Linked DNA regions of Macaca mulatta. The protein of the gene in region 3 binds, or shares a complex with, the protein of the main gene of each other region. Links are inferred from orthologs where the notes say so. Each region holds a gene or a part of one and is shown on either strand. Other genes may lie near its edges. The genes, in order: PHF20, KANSL2, KANSL1, OGT and KANSL3.

The links.
Region 1: KANSL1 (region 3) and PHF20 share a complex: the UniProt entries of both Homo sapiens proteins name them as parts of the NSL complex. The link is inferred for Macaca mulatta from reciprocal best matches to the Homo sapiens genes KANSL1 and PHF20.
Region 2: KANSL1 (region 3) and KANSL2 share a complex: the UniProt entries of both Homo sapiens proteins name them as parts of the NSL complex. The link is inferred for Macaca mulatta from reciprocal best matches to the Homo sapiens genes KANSL1 and KANSL2.
Region 4: KANSL1 (region 3) and OGT share a complex: the UniProt entries of both Homo sapiens proteins name them as parts of the NSL complex. The link is inferred for Macaca mulatta from reciprocal best matches to the Homo sapiens genes KANSL1 and OGT.
Region 5: KANSL1 (region 3) and KANSL3 share a complex: the UniProt entries of both Homo sapiens proteins name them as parts of the NSL complex. The link is inferred for Macaca mulatta from reciprocal best matches to the Homo sapiens genes KANSL1 and KANSL3.

What each region holds. Positions count from the first base shown.
Region 1 is NC_133415.1:88,781,155-88,784,674, reverse strand, and holds part of PHF20 (PHD finger protein 20), read right to left. Parts: intron 1,074-3,520; coding exon 931-1,073; 3' UTR 1-930. UniProt on the Homo sapiens protein: Methyllysine-binding protein, component of the MOF histone acetyltransferase protein complex.
Region 2 is NC_133416.1:55,813,114-55,815,649, forward strand, and holds the end of KANSL2 (KAT8 regulatory NSL complex subunit 2), read right to left. Parts: intron 2,163-2,536; coding exon 2,043-2,162; intron 1,621-2,042; exon of another isoform or gene 1,484-1,620; intron 1,273-1,483; coding exon 1,141-1,272; 3' UTR 508-1,140; downstream 1-507. UniProt on the Homo sapiens protein: Non-catalytic component of the NSL histone acetyltransferase complex, a multiprotein complex that mediates histone H4 acetylation at 'Lys-5'- and 'Lys-8' (H4K5ac and H4K8ac) at transcription start sites and promotes transcription initiation.
Region 3 is NC_133421.1:70,930,596-70,933,133, forward strand, and holds the end of KANSL1 (KAT8 regulatory NSL complex subunit 1), read right to left. Parts: intron 2,308-2,538; coding exon 2,080-2,307; 3' UTR 512-2,079; downstream 1-511. UniProt on the Homo sapiens protein: Non-catalytic component of the NSL histone acetyltransferase complex, a multiprotein complex that mediates histone H4 acetylation at 'Lys-5'- and 'Lys-8' (H4K5ac and H4K8ac) at transcription start sites and promotes transcription initiation.
Region 4 is NC_133426.1:78,015,591-78,019,843, forward strand, and holds the start of OGT (UDP-N-acetylglucosamine--peptide N-acetylglucosaminyltransferase 110 kDa subunit), read left to right. Parts: upstream 1-1,440; 5' UTR 1,441-1,636; coding exon 1,637-1,673; intron 1,674-4,253. UniProt on the Homo sapiens protein: Catalyzes the transfer of a single N-acetylglucosamine from UDP-GlcNAc to a serine or threonine residue in cytoplasmic and nuclear proteins resulting in their modification with a beta-linked N-acetylglucosamine (O-GlcNAc).
Region 5 is NC_133418.1:5,266,605-5,270,124, reverse strand, and holds part of KANSL3 (KAT8 regulatory NSL complex subunit 3), read left to right. Parts: intron 1-214; exon of another isoform or gene 215-239; coding exon of another isoform or gene 240-281; intron 282-1,945; coding exon 1,946-2,077; intron 2,078-2,972; coding exon 2,973-3,089; intron 3,090-3,318; coding exon 3,319-3,420; intron 3,421-3,520. UniProt on the Homo sapiens protein: Non-catalytic component of the NSL histone acetyltransferase complex, a multiprotein complex that mediates histone H4 acetylation at 'Lys-5'- and 'Lys-8' (H4K5ac and H4K8ac) at transcription start sites and promotes transcription initiation.

The DNA.
Region 1 (3,520 bases), on a different chromosome or scaffold from region 3:
TTCAGGAAGGAGAAAAGCGGCACATGTATAATTTGAAGTTTGTTTACAACAATATAAAATAAGGTAATTCCCCAAACCACATTCTTTGTAACAAATCTTTACAGTGAAAGAGTTTGAAATTTTGGGAAACATTTTTGGACATTAAATAGAACGGGGAAGCTGTCAATATTAAGAAATGGGTAGAAAATGCTGTCCTTTGGGTTCCAGACCCTGCCTGCTTCAGTTTGGAATTCCTCCTAGATTTTTATTACTGTGAGATTCTAGTTCTTCCATAGGCTGTATGGGCTCTGCTACAAAAGCCATAACACAGCCAGCTCTGGGGTGAAAGCATACAAACTTGTCCCCAGTACCATGAAGTCATGCAAGAGATGTGGTGAGAAAAGTGAAGAGTCCTAAGGAGAAAGCAGGGCAGCCAAGACTCTGCTCCTTTCCAACCTCCACAGCGTGGTGAGCTCACAACATTCCCATGAAGCTAGAAAAGGAAAATGATGCCTGCTGCCCAAACACCATGCCAGGAAGAAACCAGGGAGGTGGCATGTGCCCAAACCTGACAGAAAAGTCAATTAAATAAACTGCAAATTGAATTTACAACTGTCTCCAACTAAACTTTTTTGGCTCTCATTCCATTTATCATCAGTGGCACGATTTCAAGTGAAGTTTGTGCAAAAAGACTCCCTTCATTCAATGATGTGCACAGAAGAAGGGAATCCCGAGTCTATTTGCTACCTTTATGGTAGGCTTCGAGATCAGAGTGTCCTCCCACAGCCAAAATGGCCTCTTTGTCCAATGTCCATCACACTCCTGGCCCAGATCCCTGAAGTCAGTTGGTGTCACGTGCATTCAGCATGCTAGGTTTATTTATTTAAATATGCGAAGCTCCTCCTGCAGGTGCCCCAGGATTGTGCTCCCATGAGTTTTGGGTGCCCAGTTTCATGTTGAGCAGCAGAGGGCGATCTGCTGCACCTTGCCCAGGTCCGTCAGCAGCTGCTTGATACAATGCTTGAGCTGCGGAAGCCTGGCCAGTGGCTCAGGGGGCTCCAGTTCCCCAGTGTAGTCCAGCCAGCTCTCCAACACTGTCGGCAGAAGAGAGAAATGAGACCCAGTGAGCTCCCAACACTTGATTTGCAAGAACATCAGCAAGCATTTCAGCACCTTATTCCATTAGACCATTCATGGGCAAGGGAGGAAGGGCCATTTCAGCCAACACTGTGTCAACACCTGCTCTGCAAAGTGGTACTCCCAGGACAAAACTCAAATGCTTTAGAGCAACACAGTCCAAAAGAACTTCCTGCGATGATGGAAATGGTGCGAGTTTGTGTCATCCAATATAGTAGCCACTAGCCATATGCAGCTATTGAGCGCTGGAAACATTGCTAGTGCAACTGAGGAACTGAATTTTAAATTTTATTCAATTTTGGTTAAACAGCCACACATTGCCAGAGGCTACTGTTACCAGAGTCTAGGAGTCTCGGAAGGAAGCACCTTTCTGAGTGTTACTACTCACTCTTTAAAAAGCTTTCCCAGTCGGGCGCGGTGGCACGTGCCTATAATCCCAGCACTTTGGGAGGTCAAGGCGGGCAGATCACAAGGTCAAGAGATCGAGAGTATCTTGGCCAATGTGGTGAAACCCCATCTCCACTAAAAATACAAAAATTAGCCAGGCATGGCAGCGCGCGCCTGTAATCCCAGTTACTCAGGAGACTGAGGCAGGAGAATCACTTGAACCCAGGAGGTGGAGGTTATGGTGAGCTGAGATCATGCCACTACACTCTAGCCTGGGCAGCAGACTGAGACTCCGTCTCAAAAATAAATAAATAAATAAATTAATTAATTAAGGGAGGAGACCACCCCTCATATTGTCTTATGCCCAATTTCTGCCTCCAAAGAAAGAAGAAGTAAAAACTAAAAGGCAGAAATGAAATCCACAGGCAGACAGCCTGGTGCTGCACCCTGGGCCTGGTAGTTAAAGATCGACCCCAACCTAATTGGTTCTGTTATCTATAGGCTACAGACATTGTAGAGAAATGCACTGTGAAAATCCCTATCCTGTTTTGTTCCGATCTAATTACCGGTGCATGCAGCCTCCAGTCACATACCCACTGCTTGCCCAATCAATCACGACCCTCTCACAGGCACCCCCTTAGAGTTGTGAGCCCTTAAAAGGGACAGGAATTGCTCACTCAGGGAGCTCGGCTCTTGAGACAGGAGTCTTGCCGATGCCCCCGGCCGAATAAACCCCTTCCTTCTTTAACTCGGTGTCTGGGGAGTTTTGTCTGCCGCCCGTCCTGCTACATTTCTTGGTTCCCTGACTGGGAAGCGAGGTGAACGGTGGATGGTCAAAGCAGCTCTTTAGGCGGCTTAAGCCTGCCCTGTGGAATATCCCTGCGTATCCCTGCGGGGAACTCCGACCAGCCTGAGCGACGCCCATCCTGAGCCGATCCTGAGAGCGCTCCCGGGTAGGCATTTGCCCCGGTGGGACGCCTCGCCAGAGCAGTGTGTGGCAGGCCCCCGTGGAGGATCAATGCAGTGGCTGAACACCAGGAAGGAATGGGCGCTTGGAGCCTGGACATCTAAAACTTGGTAAGACTAGTCTTTGAAACTTGCCCGCTCCATTTGAGTGGAAGCGTGCCCTGATCACCCATGTCGTGCCTTTATTGGTACTTTGGTTTTGGTTTTGACTTGGTTTGAATTGCTTGATAGGATTGGTCTTAGGAACTTGCCCACTCCATTTGAGTGGAAGCGTGGCCTGATCACCCACGGCGTGCCTTTATCGGCACTTTGGTTTTGGTTTTGACTTGGTTTGAATTGCTTGACAGGATTGGTCTTGGGAACTTGCCTACTCCATTTGCGTGGAAGCGTGGCCTGACCACCCACGGTGTGCCTGTACCGGCACTTTGGTTTTTGTTTTTGACTTGACTTGGATTGCTTGATATTTTGGTTTTGGTTTTGATCTGGCTTGGATTTCTGGATACTCTGATTTTGGTTTTGATTTTGGTTTGGTGTAAACTACAAAAGTGTGTGTGTCCCCTTTTTACCCATTTGTTTTGTGGTGGGCGTGATGTTTTGTCTAGAGGAAACATGGGAGAGGCACAAAGTAAGCCCACCCCACTAGGAACTATGTTGAAAATTTTCAAAAAAAGGATTTAAGGGAGACTATGGACTACTATGACACCAGGAAAATTTAAAACTTTGTGTAAGATAAGACTGGCCAGCATTAGAGGTAGGTTGGCCATTAGAAGGAAGCGTGGACAGGTCCCTTGTTTCAAAGGTATGGCACAAGGTAACCTGTAAGCCAGGAAACCCAGACCAGCTTGTTTTAGATCACCCGCCCCCAACACACGGTGGTTCAGAGAACAGCAGCATAAGCGGCTGGCAGAGGCAAAGAGAGAGAGAGGAAGAGACGGAGAGGAAGATACAGACAGGGAGTCAACGAGAGAGAGAGAGAGAGAACGACAGAAGCAGAGAGAAAGAGGAAGAGACAGAGGCAAAAGGAAAATCAAAGAGAGAGAGAGACAAAGTC
Region 2 (2,536 bases), on a different chromosome or scaffold from region 3:
GCCCAATTTCTCTTATGTTTTAAGTATATTCCTACCATTAGAGAATTTTGAGATGGCATGAGCATTATTGTTTTTTTAAATAATTATTTAAAATTTGAAAATATAGACACAGGGTCTCACCATGTTGCCCAGACTGGTCTGGAAGTACTGAGCTCAAGTGATCCACCTATCTCAGCCTCCCAAAGTGCTGGGATTACAGGTGTAAGCCACCACACCTAGCAGAGATGACATTGGCATTAATCGTGAGAAATGGGAGTGGGAGTAGGGGACACAGAGTGGAAGGGTAGAAAGAAGATATTTGGAACTGATTGGCTTTAATAAGTCCTGCCCCTTTTCATTTACTTCTTCCTTAAAAGCAAAACCAAAATGAGCTACTGAAGATTTATTTTTTCCTGGGATGGAAGTATTATCTGCCCCAACTTCCCTTTCCCATCAGAGACAGGTCCCTAAAACCGCGAAAGAGAGACTATATTCTCAAACAAAACATGCATTCAATTCAGGTGACTGTTTGATATTTTCATAACATTTTCTTTAACATTTAATAGAAACTATATACAATAAATTTGTACTATATTTTACATAAGATAGCAACCACAGAAATTTACATAGGTTAAAAGCAAGATGGATAAGGAGGACCCAGTCCTGTGGGCTGTTTTCTCAGAGGATAAAAGCCAGAGTTCACCACGGAAACAGGTTAAAGATTGCCCAATTAAGTAGAGGTGAAGAAAAGTTAAACTGCAGGTCTTTAGATAGAGATAACCAGATATTAGGGCCATCAGTATCTAAAAGACACTACTCACAAAGACAGCTCCCACCTAGCTACTTAAGTGGATTTCTATCCATGACTTTGGAAATCCCATTACAAAGATGTCACTTTCCTTTTAGGTATAGTACCAAATAATCCCAGAAGCTTTGATAGGGATTATCTCTCTTCCTTGCCCTGAGTGGGAAGAAACCCACAACTCTTAAGAAGTATTGGTCCATGTCCTCAAAATTTGGCTTTACTTTTGACTATAATACTCAATCCAGAAGAAAAACAAGATAGTCTGGGTTGCCTGTGTTTTGTGAGAGATGATCAGAAATATTTCTTTGAAGAATGAGAAATTTAAATCCACCAAAGTAAAATGGTTCCCCAAACTATCAACTAATAGAAGTGGGTTCTGGCTTCCCATTTGCAGTAGCCAATCCACTCTGAGACAATGGTGCAGAGGCTTTCTCAGAATTTCGAGATCCCTGGGATCTGCACCCATCTCCAGCCATCTGCATCTGGCCCTGTTAAAAGAAATAAAGGCACTTCAGTTAGAAATTCATTCACTGTGGTCTGAAGTATGAATCTGACTTATCAGTGGCCATTTATACTAGCAATAAGAAAAATACAACAGAAATTAATTAATTCTGGACAGATGCTCCTCCCTATATTAGCTATCCCTGTCCCTTGGAAGAGCCTACTCCTGAGCCTCTTCCAATGGGTTGGAGAGCTGTAGGTTGTTTCTTCCAAATGAAACAGCCATTCCCTGCTGAGGTCCCAGAACAGCCAACAGACCATAGGAAGACAGTCCTTTAGGCCTCTGCTTGAAACCAACAGCTACAGTACAACTGCTGGTTTTCAGTCAGGGCCACTGGAATTCTACCCAAGGTTCACAGACAGAACTCAAATCACACTACTTTACTGGTCATTCTATAATGAGAACAATTTCAGTGCTGAACTCTCCCTCAGAAGGTACAGTTTACCTAGATTCCTTATCTCAAGCTTTTATTTAAATAAATTTATGTCCTACTCTGGGATATGAGGATCAGGGGCCATTAGGTGTTCTAAGAGTCTATCTGGAGAACTACAGCAACAAGGGTATACAGGAGCAAAGTAGGGCATTTTTAAAAGTGCTTTGCTTATATGGTATTCAATGAGCGAGAGACATGTGGAGCGTCTTTATACTAGTGATGACACCCCACTCCCCTCCAGGAGTACATGCTATCCAGCAGGGAACCCTCTGCCTGGCCAGGTCTCTACATGCGGGAAACAGGTGGGATTGTTCTTCACTTGCCAAAATATCCACTGGGTCTTCAGCAATTTCTTTGACTAAATGATCTTCAAGGGTTAGTGAAGGATCAAAAAGCAAAGGTGAAGGAGGACACTGCATACCATCACCCACAACATCCAAGTCCTAGAAAACAAGAGAGAAAAGCCCATCAGCAATACCAAGGGAAACAATAATAAAGGTGGTATGTTTTTCAGCAAACTTTAAAGCAATACTCTGCTGTCTCCCTCAACCCTAGCCTACCTTTGATCAAAAAAAAATTTTACCAGAACGTCCAACAAATGAAACAAGATCCAAGAGCACTGAGAGCTTTTGCTGCCAAGTGTAAAACATAGACCAATATAGTGGATTAAAAAACACAATTCTGGCCACCACACCTGTAATCCCAGCACTTTGGGAGGCCGAGGTAGGCAGATCGCTTGAGCCCAGGAGTTCAAGACCAGCCTGGGCAACATGGTGAAATCCTGTCTCTACAAAAACTGCAAAAATCAGCCAGGCGC
Region 3 (2,538 bases):
AAGATCCCATCTCAAAAAATAAAAAAAGAAAAGCATGTAACCTCCTCAGAAGAAAGATGCTATAATCTCAGGCAGCAGGCAAGAACCAACTCAGGCTCTATGCAAATTATCTATCTCACTGACCCCCACCAAACCTCAGAAAAATTTAACGGTGAGAAGCAAAATCTCCTTTAAAGAGCAATGTAGAACGGAGAGAAAATATCATACAGCTGACTTCACTAGAGAGAAAGTGGATCAACTGCTTTCACTCAACAAAAAGAAAAAGGAGACGATCAATACAGATCCCCTCACCTCCTGGCAGCCCTTACCCTCAGTGAAAAGCCACCACCATTGTCTCTCTGGTGGCCATCAGATGAACCTGCGGCATTCCCACAAGACAGAATGGAGATTTCCCAAGGTATAGAGCAAGTTAGAGTACCTCAAAGAATGGCACCAGCCAGCCAGCTCCGAAGCTGCCAACACTACCATACATACACAGTTCAGTAAGTCAAGAAAGGCCTGGTACACAGCATTCTGTAACTTTTTTTTTTTTATTTTTTTCAATTTTTCCTTCTTTTTTTTTTAAGCACTAGTCTGTGCTTTGCGAACAGAATCAAGACATTAACAAAGATCAGCTTCTCTGAAGAAAAGCATTTCTATAGAACAAAGACAGCTACATGTTTCGCTGCCATTACACAGCTCCAAAGCAGGAAAAGAAAATATTTACAAAATACAAGTTTTTTTTTTTTTTCATTTTTTGTTTTTGTTTTTTTTTTTTCAATGCTAAAAGGGTTATTCAGAATTTTCAACCTTATAAATAGAAGAAGCACTTTATGCATAGGGATATGGTGCATTATTGTATTTTTTCTTTAAAGAAACAATGACAAACCCTTTAACTTGCAAACAGAAAAAAAAAATCACTAATGTTGAAAATTGTGAAAAAACCCCAACCATTAAGCAGTTGTCTACTATTTTTATACGATTACAAAATGGCCAAAAAAAAAGTCTTCTCCCCCCTCCCCCTTTTTGGTGATGTGATCATACAGGAGACAGGCACAAGGTTAACAGAGAAGGGTGAAGGGGGAACAATGGGAACCACAGCTAGGACCAGACAATGTTCCACAGGCAAGGGGAGCGTGAAAGACCAAGAGTGGAACTAACACCGACAGGGATCTGGATGTGAAGGAAACATGGCAAAGCGAATCAGAGAAAAAAAAAAAAATCACACAGGGAGATGGCTGCTCACTTCCCACAACCCCGTTTGCAGGGGAGTGGGAACAGAGGTTAAGTAGTCCTAACCCTACCTTCAGAGATCAGGATAGGTGGTAAAAAAAACATTCCGAGTGGAAGGACGGGTTGTGGGTGTGTATGTGGCATTGGAGAACGGACAGGGAAGGGTACCAAGGGGCATGATGAAGGGAACCTGAGCAGCCACAGCCAGGTTACTGCAGTTAAAGAGTCAAAACAGAGAAGACCAAATGCAGATGAAACAAAAAATAGGTCTCTAAGTTCTGGGTGAGAAGGGAAAGCTGTTCTGCCGGCTGAGCACTTGGTGAGAGCAGCTGGCAGTTACGGCAGAGAGGCTCTGGTGGGGATGTTCCAGCACGAAAAACCAAGGGGGGACCCAGCCAGGAGGGCCACAGCTGAGCCCAGCCACAGATGGGAGGGGAAGGGGTAAGAGCCCAGAGCACCCTGCCCCATTCCACCCTAGCCCGAGAAGGCCATGCTCAACTGGAGCCCTCTGCCCGCCAGGCTGTTCTGCCCTGCCCACAGGTGTGAGGGAGGGGGTGTGGTCATCTAAGATTGGTAAGTCCAGTGATTCAACAGTGCAGAGGATGTGCCAGGACCAGGCCAGCAGGGTCTCATCCTGAACTTCTGTTTGCCAACGGGAGGAAGTGCTCAGGTGTGTGACAAGAAAACATGGAAACAAAAAACAAAAATTAAAACGAGAGAAAAAAATACCAAAGTAGGATCTAAATTCCTTAAGTTCACTAAAAACTGTGAAAATTTCCGGCATATGATGTTTGAATATCAAACGCAGAGATTTCTGAAGCTTTAATGCCAATAGTTAGTGAGTCTGTTTAGATTCTTGTCTCCCGCTCATCTGTGAGTTGGGCGCTGAGCTGTGGCTGCTGCCACCAGATGCCGACTCTTGAGGGGGACAGTGGGAGGCGAGGTGGGTGCCGCCTCTGTCTCCCGGCCAGTCTTGCTGCCTGAGGTGCGTCGAGTGCAGCGGGCTGCTCGCTCCTGTGCATCCAGCTGGTCCTCACACTCCGCCTGGGGACTGTGCGCCAGGGGGAAGGTCCGCCGCTCCCAGGGCTGGACAGACTGTAGGCAGACAAGTTGCTCTGTGAGGACCCAGACCCAGCCAGCCTGCTTCCTGCTCCAAGGCCCTGCCACAAACCTTGTGGCCGGAGACTAGGACCAGTCTATCTAGCGTTCCTGGGACAGTCCAGGAACACCCCTCCTAGGGTGTACCCAGACAACCGTACTGACCATTTAGCAAAGATAAATATAGTTCCACTGAATGTTGAGGAGGTCAATTTAAGTGCGGCCCTT
Region 4 (4,253 bases), on a different chromosome or scaffold from region 3:
TTCCATAATTAATTGTTTGTTGACTGTTTTGAAGAAATTTAAGCAGAATTTGAGGATTTAGTTTATCAAACAATGTAGTGAAGGGGCTAGGTAGCAAAAACTTTTTTTTTCTTTTTTATTATACTTTAAGTTCTAGGGTACATGTGCACAACGTGCAGGTTTGTTACATATGTATACATGTGCCATGTTGGTGTGCTGCACCCATTAACTTGTCATTTACATTAGGTATATCTCCTAATGCTATCCCTCCCCCCTAGCAAAAACTTTTTGAAGAAATTCATTGACCTGCTTTCCTAGATCAAGGACTTTTTGAAATAAAAAGGCTCTCAGAGATCCAACTTGTAGCCTCCAGTGGCTTGTAATAATTTCTTGCTGATGTGGCAAGTTACCTTAAATCGTTTCTAGAACAAGACGTGAGGTATAAATGCCAATGTGACAAAATGTCTGAACAGTAGACTTGAAACTGCAGGAGGATCATAAGAACCCATTTGTTCAAGGAAGTGGAGGCAATTCATGACTAAATCTAGACGTGTGGTTTTAGGCAGATGGCAAGTGAATTCATTTATCATTGTTGATCTGCTTTGAGCTCAGTGGAATCGCCGATTGTGACAATCCGCAGAGCTAGTTGGTTGAAATGAAGTCACAACTCGGAGGAGAGTCATGAATTTTGACGAACATGAATCACCTTTAACATTTTTATGGCTGCCTTCGGAGTGCAAACCCCCGGCATGTCCCTGAGTTATTAAGCATTTGCCCTATCACTGTGGGCAGGAGTCTTCTGAATACCAAAACGATTTTGAAATTTCGGGCTATACGGTCAACATTGGAGGTGTCTCCATTCAACTGGCCCCGTGAAAGTTTCAGTCTTTTTCATCGAAGTGCCGAAATCGATGGCCGAGTCACAATGAAGACGGCTTCAATAGGAACCCTCTCGCTCCTAGTTTGGAGCAGCTGTCTTTGCGAGGCAATCTTCTGAATTGACTGGATCGGAATTGATCCGTGAGAGTCGTAACCATCCGTTTTTGTACGAATAAAGTTGACAAACTTTTTTAGACGCCTTTGGCGTTTATGTTTAAAACGACACCACCTGCTAAGTAACAAACAGACTCTTCTTTATCGCCGTGGCAAAAATGTATTCTCCCCGTGTGTGTGTTTGTTTGTTTTTACCCTTCCGCTACACTCTTAAGAAACTTAGCCGCTTCCGCCCGGGAGAGTGCCCTAACCGCGAGTCGGGTTGACAGGGCTGCTCGCATGCGCCGTCTCCACCGTGGTGTTTGTCGCAATGGGCGCTGCGCGGAGGGCTACATGGAATCTCGACTTTGCAGCTTGAAGTCATTTTGTTGGCGGCGCTGGTTACCGCGGCTACCTCCGCGCGGGCACTTGATTGTAACAGAAAGTAGTTCCGGCCCGTGTTGTTTCGGCCGAGGAGCCGTCGCCGCCATTTCAAGACCGTACTAGGTAGATGGCCAACTAGAGTTCCCAGGGTTCGAAGCCTGTAACTGCTGCCGCCGCTGAAGCCCTCCAGAGCATTGCTACGGCTGCTGCCCTTGTACTACTACCTCCAAATACGTTCTTGCCGGTAGTGGCGGCAGCAGGACCAGTTACCTTTTTTTTGCTCTCCCTCGAGAAGCTCCAGATGGCGTCTTCCGTGGGCAACGTGGCCGACAGCACAGGTACCGGTGTCCCGTTCTACCTTGGCAGATGCCCCCTTGGGGTCTCGCGCCGTCCTCTACCTTGTATCACTCCTTCCCTCCCTTACCTCGAACCATCCCCATTACATCAGTGACATTGCTGAGCTTCTCGTGGTAGATCGGGTTTTCCGCTGTCGTCCGCTTCCCGAACATTTCCTCCTCCTGCTTTGCTTGCTTTTTGCTCCCTTTCTTGCTTTGTTTTTATTTCGTAAATGTTGTAGCTTTCCACTCTCTCTGGGCGCTTCTATCACACGTGCGCGCTTAGAATGTCGTGGAATGGACTGCATTGGAATCCCTGCCCTTTCACTCCTTTGCAGCGGTTTTCTCCCCTAATTCCAGCTCTTCACCTCTCCTTTTTTCCCTCCGTCTCCCCCTCCAGCCTTTTCCCCTTAGCCAGATTTGGTCCTTCTCTGCCAATCTAGGGCGGGGGTGCCGTTCCGATGTAATCGTATCCTCACTTTGCATCACCCGAGGACGAGCAAAAGCTCGTCGATGGTGCCACAAGTCACCTCGAGAAGAGGGGACGTTGAGCAGCACCCCGCTAGGCAGTGCCTTTCTGGTGTTCTTTCGGTTGAGCGGTCCCGGTTTAGATTGGAAATTTCCAGGGGTTTCCTTTGCCATCGCTCAATTCCACCGCTGCCCTCAGCCTGGATTTCCCACCCTGTCCTCGGGGAACCACACCCTTCCCTTCGCGAGGTTGCCAGCCCTACTGTTCACTTCCTATCCTTGGGGGAGAAACCACCCCGACGCTGCTGCTTTGGCGTTGACCACCCTGCCCGCCCAATTCTCGCTTTGTGTTACTTTCTCGATGTATTCCTCCGCCGCCGCCTCTGGGTCTGCCATCCCCATTCTTTAGCCCAGCATCTCTTTATTCATAGGGTGTAATATTTTTTTAAGTTTCCATCCCTGCTTGAAGAGTTTGTAAAGCAACTGGAGTGTAGCTGCACAAGTACAAGGCGGTTGCCCTTTTAGACAATTCAGTCGCGAGCATTTGGTACTAAAAATACGAAAACAACCAAATTATAGGAGTGTCCTTCAGCTGCCTTTCCATATTGAGTCGATTTGGGCGGAAGGGGGTGGGGAATTGGGCTGCGCTTCTGAGGTTTCCCGCGAGGTTATTTTTTGGTTGTTTCTCAGTTGAGATGTGTGGAGGGTTTTAGTTCCTGTTTCTGGAAGTTGTGCTGTAAGTAGTAGGTGAATCGTCCATAGCATCTTATCCGTAATCGTAGGGAGTGGGATTAATAATTAGTCCGTGCCCCTCTCCCCACTTCTCCACCGTGATTTTCAAAGGTTTGAGATTCTGTACTAGCTTGCCCTTTTTAATGTGTTATTTTATTTGAGGAAGCTGTCGTTTCAAGTGTTAAAATAGATAAGCGGCATTGAAAAGTGACAAAGTAATGTGTGAAAACAAGGAGCTAGGAAGTTCTAGAAACTTAGCTAAAATGTAATTTTAGTTTCTATTAGAGAGATAACCTCTCCCAGATGTGGATGCCAGTCTCAGTGCTCTTTGTGTTGGTGGTCAGCTGTGCATTCTGTCAGGAAATTTACTTTGCTTTCCTCAGTATCCAGAGAACACTCATCAGCTCTAATGATTGGGGAGCTGGGCTCAAGTTTGAACTCGTCACCTTAACCTTGGTAGAATTAAAAAATTTGTCCATGGTTTCCCATTTCAACCAGCTAGTGAAGTGCTACGGTCGAATTCCCAGTTTAAGTATTTACAGTTGTGACAAGCAGTTTTTTTCCCCTCTTTGGGCTTTAGCTATATCCTTTAAAGATCTTGATGTATCTGGATTAAGTCAGTTGCAGCAAAGTGCTTTTATTTATTCGTTATGTTGCGCTTTATCAAATATCTTATATTTTAGCGTCCATCCCCCCTCCTCCCCAACGTTTTGACCATTGCAGTTGCAGATAACTGCCTGGTTTATATAGGCTTGTTTGCACTGTCTTAATCCTTTAGTCAATACCAGAGCTCTTTGGAAAATGTTAGTGCTAAACCAACGTGGGTGGGATTTAGCCAATTTAGTCTCCTTGTGAGTTTGGGATGGTAGAGGAGCAGTAAAATCTTGGGTCTTTATTTAAAATGTTTGATGACCCCTTTAACTATTTTGGCTGTTGACAAATGACAAACATCTTGTTTATCAGCTGTTTTAAAAATAGCACTTTGACTTTTTGGTTTTTCCCTTAGGCTCGTTTCTACTTGTCCTTTTAAAGAATTAAATTGTGAAATATACAAACACATTGATAGAATTTAAAGAGTTAACACATCTGGTGTCCTTACTGAGGTTAAGACTGGTAGATTGTTACCAGTACTCCACTTCCACAAATCCAACCTGAAATATGGTACAAAATATTAAGTTTTCCAATATGTTATTCTGGTATTATTAAGTCTTTGTGACCTTGCAAATCACACGTTTAATATTTTGTTTCTGTATGTAAACTAAGATATAAGGAATGATGTTCGGTGAATCCTTAGATGCTACCTATGATTTATAATTTAAAAGTACAAAGTATTTTTGGTCATAAAATGTAATCTCATTTGGAAGTAAATATTCCTTTCTAGTT
Region 5 (3,520 bases), on a different chromosome or scaffold from region 3:
CTGAGAAAGTCTAATGGTTATAATTCTCTAATTTCTCATATAGAAATCCATTTAGTGTCTCTGTTTTTAAATTAAGAGCAACTTATCTTCTGCTATTTTTGGAGTTTTACAACTTGCATCAAAACCGTAGTACTTTTTATTCTCCAATTTTTCAAAACCTTTTTGTTTTTCTGAAAACTGCCTCTAATATTTAAACATTTTTCCTTTCCCCTAGGTCATTTTGACCTTTTGTGGGTAGCATGGAATTCGCAGATATTTCTTCTCAGATATTTCTTCTCAGTGTAAGCATCAACATGTCTGAAACTTATATTTGCACATCTGTAATGTTACATTTCTGGTAGATGGTAAAAAACAGACATGAGATAAAGTACACTGTACATAGCATAGCAGGATATATATTTTTGTACATAATAACAGGTTTATTTAGTACACCACAGCTTGAAAGCAGTACTCTAGAAGAAAATGGAGATTAAACAAAATTATAAAATCAACTGACACTCATTGAGGAAATTTAGGGAACATAGAAATCTGTAAAGGAAAAAGTCACCCATAAACTCTCTAGAGATCATTATTAACATTTTGGCTTCTTTTTTTTTTTTTGAGACAGTCTCCCTCTGTTGCCCAGGCTGGAGTGCAGTGGCGCGCTCTTGGCTCACTGCAACCTCTGCCTCCTGGGTTTAAGTGATTCTTCTGTCTCAGCCTCCTGAGCAGCTGGTACTACAGGTGTGCAGCATATTTTCTTAGTCTTTTTTCTGAGTAGAGATAATTTTTTTCTTTTTTCTTTTTTTTTTTTTGAGATAGTGTCTCACTCTGCAGCCCAGGCCGGAGTGCAGTGTCATGACCTCAGCTCACCACAACCTCCACCTCCTGGGTTCAAGTGATTCTCGTACCTCAGCTTCCCGAGTAGCTGGGATTACTGGTGTGCCACCACGCCTGGCTAATTTTTGTATTTTTAGTGGAGACAGGGTTTCACAATATTGGCCAGGCTTATCTCGAACTCCTGACCTCAAGTGATCTGCCCACCTTGGCTCCTAAAAGTGCTGGGATTACAGGCATGAGCCACTGAGCCCAGCTTTGAGTAGAGATAATTTTTATATTTTCTATTTTACCTGTAACATTTTGGCAAAATTATTGCTATATGTTATTATGTATTCTTGTAAATATTTGAAAGCTGGGCTCAGTGGCTAACGCCTGTAATTCTAGCACTTTAGGAGGCTGAGGCGGGTGGATCATTTGAGGTCAGGAGTTCAAGACCAGCCTGACCAATAAGGTGAAACTCCATCTCTACTAGAAATACACAAAATTAACTGGGTATGGTGGTGCACGCCTGTAATCTCAGCTACTTGGGAGGCTGAGAAACAAGAAATTGCTTAAACCCAGGAGGCAGAGGTGGCAGTGAGCCAAGATCAGGCCACTGCACTCTAGCCTGGGTGACAGAGCGAGACTTTGTCTCAATAAATAAATAAATAAATTCTTGTAAATATTTGAAAATAATTGTTAATATCCAATTAGGTAGATAGTTGACTAAACTACTCCCTTACGTATACATACATATATTAAATTGTTTTTACTTTATTATTGTTCATAGTTGATTTGTCTCTGTGCATAACTCTCCTTATCCTTTTGTGTGTGTTTTTGTTTCTGATATGTTTTCTTTGGAAAGGTTCTCAGAAGTAGAAACATTTGGAAAAGGGATGGGAGTACATTTAAGTCCCTTGCCACATATCCAGACTGCTTTCCAAAGGATTGTACCCATTCACTTTTCATGGTGGGAGCATACTTTTCGCCCGTTTATTTATATATACTGCTGCTCCTGAGGAGGTTTTTAGAGGCTTAGTTGAAGTCTGTCTGGCTTCTAGTGGGGCCCTGCTCTTCTGCTTGATTGCTGATGGTGGCAGGTCTCCTGCTTTACACTGGAATCAGCTTTGCTCTTCCTTCTTTGTAGATCCCAACCTTGATTGACCGGATGCTTGTGTCATCCAACACGAAGACTGGGGCTGCAGGAGCTGAGGCCTTGTCTCTCCTACTGAAGAGGCCCTGGGACCCTGCTGTGGGCGTGCTTTCTCATAACAAACCAGTAAGTTGGATGGCTCAGGACTTAACAATGGCACATACAAATTTTAGACTCAAGCCTTAGAACCTTGGCAGGAGGATAAATGGCTTCTTTAACTATTTTTTGTTGTTGTTATTATTATTATTATTATTATTATTTTTTTTTTTTTTTTTTGAGACGGAGTCTCGCTCTGTCGCCCAGGCTGGAGTGCAGTGGCCGGATCTCCGCTCACTGCAAGCTCCGCCTCCCGGGTTTACGCCATTCTCCCGCCTCAGCCTCTCGAGTAGCTGGGACTACAGGCGCCCGCCACCTCGCCCGGCTAGTTTTTTGTACTTCTTTTTAGTAGAGACGGGGTTTCACCGTGTTAGCCAGGATGGTCTCGATCTCCTGACCTCGTGATCTGCCCGTCTCGGCCTCCCAAAGTGCTGGGATTACAGGCGTGAGCCACCGCGCCCGGCCTGTTGTTATTATTTTTTGCGACAAAATCTTGCTCTATTGCCCAGGCTAGAGTGCAGTGGCATGATCTTGGCTTATTGCAACCTCTGCCTCCCAGGTTCAGGCAATTCTCCTGCATCAGCTTCCTGAGTAGCTGAGATTACAGGCATGCACCACCATGCCTGGCTAATTTTTGTGTTTTCAGTAATGACAGGATTTCACCACGTTGGCCAGGCTGGTCTCAAACTCCTAACCCCAGGTGATCCGCCTGCCTCGGCCTCCCAGAGTGCTGGGATTGCAGGTGTGAGCCGGTGCGACTGACTGGCTTCTTTAACTATTACTAGTAATTTATTTTGTATAGTGCTTAACATATTTCACAAGCAAAGGAGCATTGGTTGGGATGAGAAAGGTATTGGGATACTTGGAATTTCGTGGAAGAAAACTTCTCACTCACTGGTTTTTGGGTGGGATCCTTCCTCTTTAGAGCAAACTCCCTGGCTCTCCACTGATTCTCATCGCCTCCTCTGGTCCCTCCAGCTCTGTGTTTCCCACTTCACGCCGCCACCGCTTCTGGCAGTCTCAGCTCTCCTGCTTAGGCAAGGTATGTGTGGGGGCAGGAGGAACTCCCTCCTGGCAGGGAATATAGTCTTGGAGAATTGAGGAGAAGAATATGTGGGAGGGAGGTCAAAATGGATAACTTGAATGTGGAGCCTCCTCTAACCCTTCTTTCATGTGGAATTCCAAGGTTGAAAGGGTTTGGGGTAGGTCAAACAGAATTGAAAGATTTGAAACTTACCTCTGCTGTTGTGGGGGCTACTTCTTTCCTTCAGGTCATCCCTGTAGCCACCCATCTGCTGAACAATGGCAGTGGGGTAGGAGTTCTACAGTGTCTTGAGCATATGATTGGGGCAGTGAGAAGCAAAGTGCTGGAGGTGAGAACGCCCCTGTTTCAGTGCACTTGGCATACCCAGCATTCTGGGGTTGTTCTGCTCCCATCTTTGGCCTCCTGTCTTACTGTCTTCTTTCTCTTCC